2 linked regions of the Arabidopsis thaliana genome follow. The protein of the gene in region 1 interacts with the protein of each later gene in a pairwise test. Each region holds a gene or a part of one and is shown on either strand. Other genes may lie near its edges. The genes, in order: UBC11 and MUB4.

What was found.
Region 2: the proteins of UBC11 (region 1) and MUB4 interact in a two-hybrid assay, tested with the Arabidopsis thaliana proteins (one study listed by BioGRID).

The regions. Positions count from the first base shown.
Region 1 is NC_003074.8:2,639,293-2,643,590, forward strand, and holds UBC11 (ubiquitin-conjugating enzyme 11), read left to right. Parts: upstream 1-1,719; 5' UTR 1,720-1,933; exon of another isoform or gene 1,934-2,073; intron 2,074-2,175; 5' UTR 2,176-2,194; coding exon 2,195-2,264; intron 2,265-2,632; coding exon 2,633-2,760; intron 2,761-2,842; coding exon 2,843-2,947; intron 2,948-3,053; coding exon 3,054-3,197; 3' UTR 3,198-3,627; downstream 3,628-4,298. Other genes in the region: AT3G08680 (Leucine-rich repeat protein kinase family protein), read left to right, coding at 1-580, 658-1,298; UBC12 (ubiquitin-conjugating enzyme 12), read left to right, coding at 4,190-4,259. UniProt on the Arabidopsis thaliana protein: Accepts the ubiquitin from the E1 complex and catalyzes its covalent attachment to other proteins. Mediates the selective degradation of short-lived and abnormal proteins.
Region 2 is NC_003074.8:9,945,093-9,949,953, reverse strand, and holds MUB4 (membrane-anchored ubiquitin-fold protein 4 precursor), read left to right. Parts: upstream 1-1,869; 5' UTR 1,870-2,160; intron 2,161-2,435; 5' UTR 2,436-2,509; coding exon 2,510-2,639; intron 2,640-3,171; coding exon 3,172-3,342; intron 3,343-3,425; coding exon 3,426-3,487; 3' UTR 3,488-4,198; downstream 4,199-4,861. Other genes in the region: AT3G26990 (ENTH/VHS family protein), read left to right, coding at 262-401, 487-522, 776-1,528; AT3G26960 (Pollen Ole e 1 allergen and extensin family protein), read left to right, coding at 4,495-4,678, 4,755-4,861. UniProt on the Arabidopsis thaliana protein: May serve as docking site to facilitate the association of other proteins to the plasma membrane.

The sequences.
Region 1 (4,298 bases):
TCACCGACAACACCAACAGAAGGTCCTGGTACAACCAATATAGGTCGTGGTACCGCCAAAAAAGTTCTCTCCACTGGTGCTATTGTGGGCATTGCAGTTGGAGGTTCGGTTCTGTTGTTTATCATTCTTGCCATCATAACCCTTTGCTGTGCCAAGAAAAGAGATGGCGGGCAAGATAGCACCGCAGTGCCAAAAGCTAAACCCGGGAGGAGTGACAACAAGGCTGAGGAGTTTGGGAGTGGGGTGCAAGAGGCGGAGAAGAACAAGCTGGTCTTCTTTGAAGGAAGTTCATATAACTTTGATCTTGAGGACTTGCTCAGAGCCTCGGCTGAAGTTTTAGGGAAAGGAAGCTATGGCACAACGTATAAGGCCATCTTAGAGGAAGGAACCACGGTGGTGGTGAAGAGACTGAAAGAAGTAGCAGCTGGGAAACGGGAGTTCGAGCAGCAGATGGAAGCCGTGGGAAGGATCAGTCCACACGTGAATGTAGCTCCTCTCCGTGCCTATTACTTTTCAAAAGACGAGAAGCTACTCGTGTATGATTACTACCAAGGGGGCAATTTCTCCATGCTGCTTCATGGTAATATGATGTTTTACATGTTACTCAAGGTTATAAAAAGTGGCTTTAAAGTAACACTTTAGATGAATTCTATGCAGGAAACAATGAGGGAGGAAGAGCAGCGTTGGACTGGGAAACAAGGTTAAGGATCTGTTTGGAAGCTGCGAGGGGAATTTCTCACATCCATTCTGCATCTGGTGCTAAACTCCTCCATGGAAACATCAAATCACCAAATGTCCTCTTAACCCAAGAACTTCATGTCTGTGTCTCTGATTTCGGTATAGCTCCATTGATGAGCCATCACACCTTGATCCCATCAAGAAGCTTAGGTTACAGAGCACCCGAGGCCATAGAAACACGGAAACATACCCAGAAGTCCGACGTATACAGCTTTGGTGTACTGTTGCTAGAAATGCTGACTGGGAAAGCAGCAGGGAAGACTACTGGGCATGAAGAAGTGGTGGATCTGCCAAAGTGGGTGCAATCAGTGGTGAGAGAGGAGTGGACTGGAGAAGTGTTTGACGTAGAGCTGATCAAGCAGCAACACAACGTAGAGGAAGAAATGGTGCAGATGTTGCAGATAGCAATGGCATGTGTGTCTAAGCATCCAGATTCTAGGCCTTCAATGGAGGAAGTGGTTAACATGATGGAGGAGATTCGACCTTCAGGGTCCGGTCCTGGTTCTGGTAACAGAGCCTCCTCGCCGGAGATGATCAGAAGCTCTGATAGCCCGGTTTAGATTGGTTTTAAATTCTCTTTCTCTCATTCTCAAATCATTATTTATTTTTGCTTTTCCTTCTTCTTCTTCTTCATAAACCGTTTATTTTAGTTCTCTATGTCTGACTGCATAATTTATTCCAATCAATATCTGGAATTGTAGTGTAATTGAAACCCTCACCATGAATGGTTGTAGTTCTTAGATTGGTTATAAGTGTGCGACTAGTTTTGAATTTTCATTTGTTGTTGTATGATTCGTTTAAATTAAATCACAAGAGTCTTTGGGTGTTTGAAAATCTAACTGAAATAGTGATACAATTATATGTGAAATTTATCGTCTCAAAAAGATAAACTACATGAGTAAATAAATAAAAATAAAATCATTGCTCTGTATTTTTTGACTGCATGAGTCCTAATTGGTGAAATAAAAAAACTTTTGGCACGAGAATTAATAAATATATAGAAAAGGTGAAATAGGTGAGGCGGTACTTGCTGATAGAATCAGAAGCTTCGAGACTGACTTGTTTTAGATTCTCTGACTATAAAGAAAGGCAAAGTAACAAGTTTCGTTTTCTCCTTTGCACTCCATTTTTATTCTCGATTCTCTTCTCTCCCGATAAAGAAGCTCTCGCTTTGTGTTGTCCGTCCTTCTTCCAGGTCTAATTCCACCATTTCTCTTTGGTTAAACCCTAATTTCTTTCTCTCCCGAATCGTCCTCTGTTTTTGTTTTGCGCGATTAGTTTCCACCGCTTAATAATAGGGTTTCCGATCACTTACGTTTTGTGTTGTTTTGTTCGGTCTCTGGTTCTTCCACTGTGATCTGTTTTGTTCTTAAGTTGATTGTCTTAAGTTATATCCTCTGTTCAATAATATTCTGGTCTTGTTGGGGGTTTCCACAGGTTTTCTCGTCTCTGACGCATGGCTTCTAAGAGGATCTTGAAGGAGCTCAAGGATCTGCAGAAGGATCCTCCTTCAAACTGCAGCGCTGGTAATCTCCCTTTTCTAATCTGATTTTAACCAATTACTTACCTGGCACTAATGACTCTGAATTAGGTTCCTTACTCTCTCACTAGATTGATGTAGGTTAGGGTATCAAGTATCATACTTTATTTCCTCAATCCATGTTATGCTTCTGATTTTTTTTTTGGTAAAAGCTTTGGTTTGCTAGACTCTTTGATTAACGCTGATCTCATGGATTTTGTTGTCTGTTATGCACTTCATATTTACCCTTTCCTGTCCTGTATTTGACAAGTATCCAGAACTCTGCATGGTTTTGAGTTTATGTCAAAGTGTCTCCTTTTGTAGCTCCTGCTAATATGTCTTTATTGATGTAATTTTGTTGTCACGTTGTTTTAGGTCCGGTGGCTGAGGACATGTTCCATTGGCAAGCCACTATCATGGGACCTCCTGAAAGTCCGTATGCCGGAGGAGTGTTTTTGGTTTCTATTCATTTCCCTCCGGATTATCCTTTCAAGCCACCAAAGGTAATGTGTTGTGTTATGAGACTCTTTATGATTCATCGGTTTTTATCATTGATCTTATGATGTGAATCCATCGATCTTGCAGGTGTCTTTTAAGACTAAGGTGTACCATCCAAACATCAATAGCAATGGAAGTATTTGCCTTGATATTTTGAAAGAGCAATGGAGCCCTGCTCTTACTATCTCTAAGGTTCGAGTTTGTGTATCTCTACTCCTACCATTTTAACACAAATTATGTTACTATCTTAGCCAATTTTGTGTGTTAACGCGAGCGATATTGATGCTGTGGAAATTAGGTTCTGTTGTCGATTTGCTCGCTGTTGACTGACCCAAACCCAGATGATCCTCTTGTGCCGGAGATAGCTCACATGTACAAGACAGATAGATCCAAGTACGAGTCAACTGCGAGAAGCTGGACACAAAAGTACGCAATGGGTTGATGATATAAGACAAAGCAAAGGATATGTTATTGCGCATCGGAATAAAATAATAACTTAAAAAAAATGCACTTGTTTGGTTTATCAAACGTTAGCAAGTATCGAACAACTTAGCTGCTCTTACTCCTCTTCTGTTCTGATCACTATAAACTAGTATTAATTTCGATTGTTGGGTCTACTTTTATTCTCTTGTTTCCCTCTCCTCACTTGGTTGCAGGAAACTGCAATTCTAATCGCCCCAAACGCAATGTTTGGACTGTTTTGGTACACTCTTGACATAAGGGGTTCCAATCTACACATGGATCAACCACAACCAAAACCAAACCAACTATGAGCCTTCCATAGTTAGGATTATACATTGCTCCCAAATACAAAACTCGTTCCTAATCTTCTATTAACTTATACCAAAGTTGGTATATTTATGATTAAATTATTGATTTTCTTAATTTTTTTAATATATTTCAAAAGTGTACATGGTTCTAATAAAACACTTAAGAAATTTTCCATATTGTTTACAATAGCTGTTTTAGGAAATATCATATCTATAGACCAAACCAAGAATATCTTTAGACCAAACCAAGAATAGGTGTTTTAGAAAATAAACATATCTTTGGTTGCAATTTTCCAATATCATCCGCCATGGGTCCCTACTAATAGGTCAGGCGGTACTTGCCGACAGAATCAGAAGCCTCGAGACTGACTTGTATTCTCCGACTATAAAAAAGAAGTAGAGGGTTTTAGGCTTTTCACGAATCTCTTCTCTCTTTTGTAGTGGCCTTGAAAAAAAGATTCAATCTCCTGTTGTGGTATGTTTCTTTTGATCCATCTTTCCTTTATGTTTTCTGTTTCAACTACTTCTTAGGGTTTATCATCACTTACGTTACGTATGTATTGTTTTATTCGTCTTCCTCTATGATATGTTATGTTCTTAGTTGAATTCCTTAATACTCATTGTGTGTTGCTTATCTCGTCCGCAGGTTTTCGAGTCTAAAAGCATGGCTTCTAAGAGGATTTCAAGGGAACTGAGGGATATGCAGAGACATCCTCCAGCAAACTGTAGCGCAGGTAATCTCCCTTTTCTTGGCTGATTTTGACTGATAGATT
Region 2 (4,861 bases), 7.3 Mb from region 1:
TATCTTTGTGTCAAATCATTTAATGATAAGAGCACTTACCCCCAATCCGCAACGAGAATAACCAGTGCTACACATTTTGGTTAATTTTGGATCCCTAATTTTTGTCACTACATTTCTGATTACTGGGACTGGTCTTTATATTAACTGCTTGTAGATATATTACACTTCTTTACTTGTAGGATAGAGAAGATCCAATTCTTGTTCAAGCATCCATTTGAAGTTGTTTTCACTATCTTACTTCTTGAGCATTGCTTTAAATAGGACACGCCCCTGGGCCAGCGGTGGTGAAGGAGTTGCAGGGACAACATGTCATATTGAGAGACTGCATCGAACAGCTAGGGGCAATGGAGACATCCAGAACAAGTCTTATCTCACATTTGAGAGAAGCTTTACAAGAACAGGTTTACATTTATACATTTTCTTTCAAAACAACATCTTTCATTGCACCGGCCAGAAACCTCACCTTGTTTTTGTTTTTGTGTCCAGGAACTCAAGCTGGAGCAAGTCCGTAACCACCTTCAGGTTTGAATACTTACCAACAAATGTGATATTTGTTCCTCAGACATTTTATACATTTCAATTTACACAATACATCATAACGTTCTCAATAGTACTTTCCGAGACATGCTGGTCTAGCTTCAAGCTTGTTTAGTGAATTTGTTCAAGGAAGATAGACCCAAATCTAATTAGGGTTCTTGGTTGCCTTTCCAAACAGAATGTTGCCTTGTCTTTATGCTATTTAGTTGAATTGATTTCATTTGTGCTACGATTTCAGATTGCTCGGTTTCAATCAGACCGAACTGGTGATCTCTGCAGACAGCTTCTAGACCATGGTGGTAGTTCACAGCCTCCTGCTACAGAAGAAGAAGAGTCAAAAGAAGTTATCAAAGTTTCATCCACTGCAGCAGCACCACAAAGCTTCACACACAGCGATGTGGAACAATCTGCACCAGTTATGTTTGCCTCAAACCCAACTCAATCGCTGGAAGACCCAAGAAAAACTGCTGCTGCTGCAGTGGTAGCTAAGCTAACTGCTTCAACTTCCTCAGCCGAGATGCTCTCCTATGTTCTCTCCTCCTTAGCCTCCGAAGGCATCATCGGAAACAACAACCCACCTGCTGTAACAGAAACTCTATCATCCGTCGATTTCCCACCAGAGAAAAGACCTAAGCTTCAAAATCATGACCAGTCGTATCTCTCACCGCACCATCAGAACACTGCAACAACATCATCCTCCACACCCCCACAACCGCTTCCACCACCACCACCATTCCAGCTTCAACCTCAGTTTTTGCAGCCGTTACAGCCTCCCGGGCCAGTAAACCACACACCATTCAACTACACCATAGCAACCTCTACTGCAACCACTCAGCAACAACAACAAGAACAAGGTCCTTGGGTACCTGGGCTCACTCAACTTTCAACAACCTCTGCTCCATCGGAGAATTCATACCAGAAGTTTCAGGGACAAGATGGTTTCTATGGCATTAACTCATCTGTGCCTATTACACCTGTCACTCGCCAGTAGTGTAAATCTGTTCGTAGGGGTTCATATAGCAAAAAGTTCACTTTTTTTTTTGGTTTTTTTTTGTTAAATATAGTTTCAATGGGCTTTTGATAATTAGGATTTTATGTTCTTAAAATGTGCTTTGTATGCTTTCTAATTGTGCGTCTAATCCAAGGTTTCAACTCTGTAAACATATCATAAAAATCCTTTGTTTTGCTCTGAGATTTTACTATTGTTGGAAGATTCTATAGATTTTCAAATTTTCTTGTTCCTCTCTTTGAAATTTACATGGAAGTCAGATTTGGACCAAAGTGATTTGTTGCTCGTCTTTTAAAGTCTTCTGGTCAAAACGCCGACAAGGCTTTGCTTTTGACTAATAAAGAAACATACTTTTCCACAATTTTCTTGTCTTTTTATCTTATTTCCTTACTCGTCAGGGATTCCCTGTAACGCGGCAATCCTGACGAAAGACATATCAGAAACTTTGATAGAATCACATAGCAGCAATCTCTTAGCTGGATTTTACCAGCTTCACTTTGAGATTAGGTCATTTACCCTTTTAAGGGTTTCTCTCCTACTTTCTTGATTCTCTTCATTCCCAAGACTCAAAACCTAGCAAACTTGGACATTTGGATTGAGTGTCTCTAGTCCGGGTAAGATTTGTGTGTTGTGGTAACTTTATCTGACGGTTTAGGAGCTTAGGTTGCTTAGATGAGTTCCAAGTTTTTATTTTTCTTTTGCTTATTGTTCTTCTTGTTCCTTTGGTCCAAGTTCTTGATTTGGACAGTAACTGAAAATTTCCTAATTGATTCCTTTAAGTTTGACTGTGCTCTTATTACTAGTCTTCTCTAAATATTTTTGTTCTTTGCTTCGACAATTTCATTGATGCTTTGAATTTGAGAATCTCTCTGTCCTCTTATTATTATAGGTCTCATTTGGGTGGATTCTTTCTGGTGAAATCTTTCTTGTGAGAGTTTTGTATTGGGAGAAAGAGATAATCAAATGCCGGAGGAAGATTTGGTAGAACTGAAATTCCGGTTATATGACGGTTCAGATGTTGGCCCGTTTCAGTACTCTCCAACCGCCACAGTGTCAATGCTTAAGGAGAGAATTGTCTCTGAATGGCCTAAAGGTTAGCACCGAGCACAATCTTTTGGTTTGTTTTTCGGCTAATCCGTGAAAAAGAAGTAAAAATGCGATAGAAGTGCTCTTTAATGCTTTAGATTTGGCTTTAGAACGTTTGCTTCAGCCATTTTTTTTTTTCTTCAGTTTCTTCACTTGTGGCTTGATAGACAAAGTTCAGACATAAGTCATAGGATCTGATTGACTTACTAATCATTTGTCTTAAAGTAGGAACAGAAGAAGGAAGTTAAACTATTGATCTTTTAAAAGGTTACTCGATCTTGTGATCTATGTTTTAACAGTTTCTCCACTTGTGGTATAGGCTTTTGAATTGGTCTGATTGTATTACTAATCACTTGTCTTATACTACAAATCATGTCTTTAGAGACTATAGGGACGAATACTGTTCTGGTTCTTTTTAGTAGAATTTCTTGATCTTACTCTTCAGTCTTGTGCATTCAACAAAAAATTGAATTTGTCTCATTTTGTTTCCTATTGTATCTTATTGACTAATCGAATTTGGGGGTTTTGAATGTGTGTAGACAAGAAGATTGTTCCAAAATCAGCTAGTGACATCAAGTTGATAAATGCTGGTAAGATTTTGGAGAATGGTAAAACTGTTGCACAGTGTAAAGCTCCATTTGATGATCTCCCTAAATCCGTCATTACAATGCATGTTGTCGTGCAACTGTCTCCAACAAAAGCAAGACCAGGTCTTGTTCTTTCTTATCTCCGTAAATCTTGTTTGTGGAATGAATTCTTTAGCCTAATATCTTGTTTTTTCTTTCTCTTACAGAGAAAAAAATCGAAAAGGAAGAAGCCCCACAGAGAAGCTTTTGCTCATGTACCATAATGTGAGAACAACAACAAGTCCCAAGTCAAAAAATCTGAAAGAGTTAAGTTTTGATTCTCTGTGGTATTTGCTAAAAGACCATATAAACATAAACTACCGCTTCATATTCGACATTTTCTTCACAAGTTCAAAGAAACCTTCATCTATGGCGTTATAAAGCTAGTCTATTAGAGTTGTTTCTCTTGAGCTGTGATGGAAAAACTCTTGTTTGGAGCATCCTTTATAAAGATAAGAGTTTTGTTACCGCGAACTAATTCAAGTATCTCTGTAACATATCTTGTATGGTTTTGTCAATCTTTAGTACATTTTAGACCTGGTTTTTTTCTCTATCAGGATCCGCCCAAAACTGTATCCAAACATCTTTATCCAGTCCATTACCTACAGTGAAAACGAGTACTAAACGTTTGCAGTTTGGTTCTTGAGTGGCAAACACTTTGATATGTTACTATATGGTCCATACCTTTCTCATCATTTTCCACTTCCACAAAGCCAATGTTTTGGGGATGTAGGTAGATACAAACCTCCAAAAGAAACAGAGAGCATGAGATCTCAATAAATGTCCTTTCACCTAACTTATCACTGTCTCCCACTTAATTCTCTCATTTATAACCTTCACTTTCACTTAGTGTCTCTCCACTATCTTGTCTTGTTTCGCCTTTAATTCTATTCCTCTCCTCTGGCTCTCATTTATAATCTTCACTCCAAATGCACCTTTCTTTGTACTCCCATCACTTTCTCTTCGATATGGTATTTACTTTAATCCGATTCGAATATTGTAACTATGAAAAACAAAATGAATAGTAAAAATATCCGTTTCGTATCCAAGCCTATTTTTAAAAGACACGTTTGTATAACTCTCTCTATATATAGAAAGGAACCACGAAGCTCTTTCAAGAGAGTTCTATTCTTGTCTGAAAACTAGTTCCCTATATTTCTTCTTTCTTCACACACATATTCTCCAATTCTTACATAAATATCAAATAAACCAAACTTGAAACTTGTTGTGCTTAAGATGACGAAGAAATCACTGACAATGTTTCTTTTTATACTTCTGCAATTTCTGCTCGTAAACTCTCTATCTTCAAAGCATTCATCACCCAAACCAAAACCAGATGCAGAAATCACTATAATGGGTTTTGTTTACTGCGATGTTTGCTCCAAAAACAGTTTCTCTAAACACAGTTACTTCATGTCCGGTAGTAACTCAGAACAAAAAGATCTCTTTAATTAATTCCCTGCAAAAACTCTGTTTCTTAACGTTTCTTTACACAGGTGTGGAAGTGAGGATAGTCTGCCGATTCAAAGCAGCTTCGTCAACAACGACAGAGACTATAACATTCTCTGCAAACAGAACCACCAACGAGTTTGGACTGTACAAG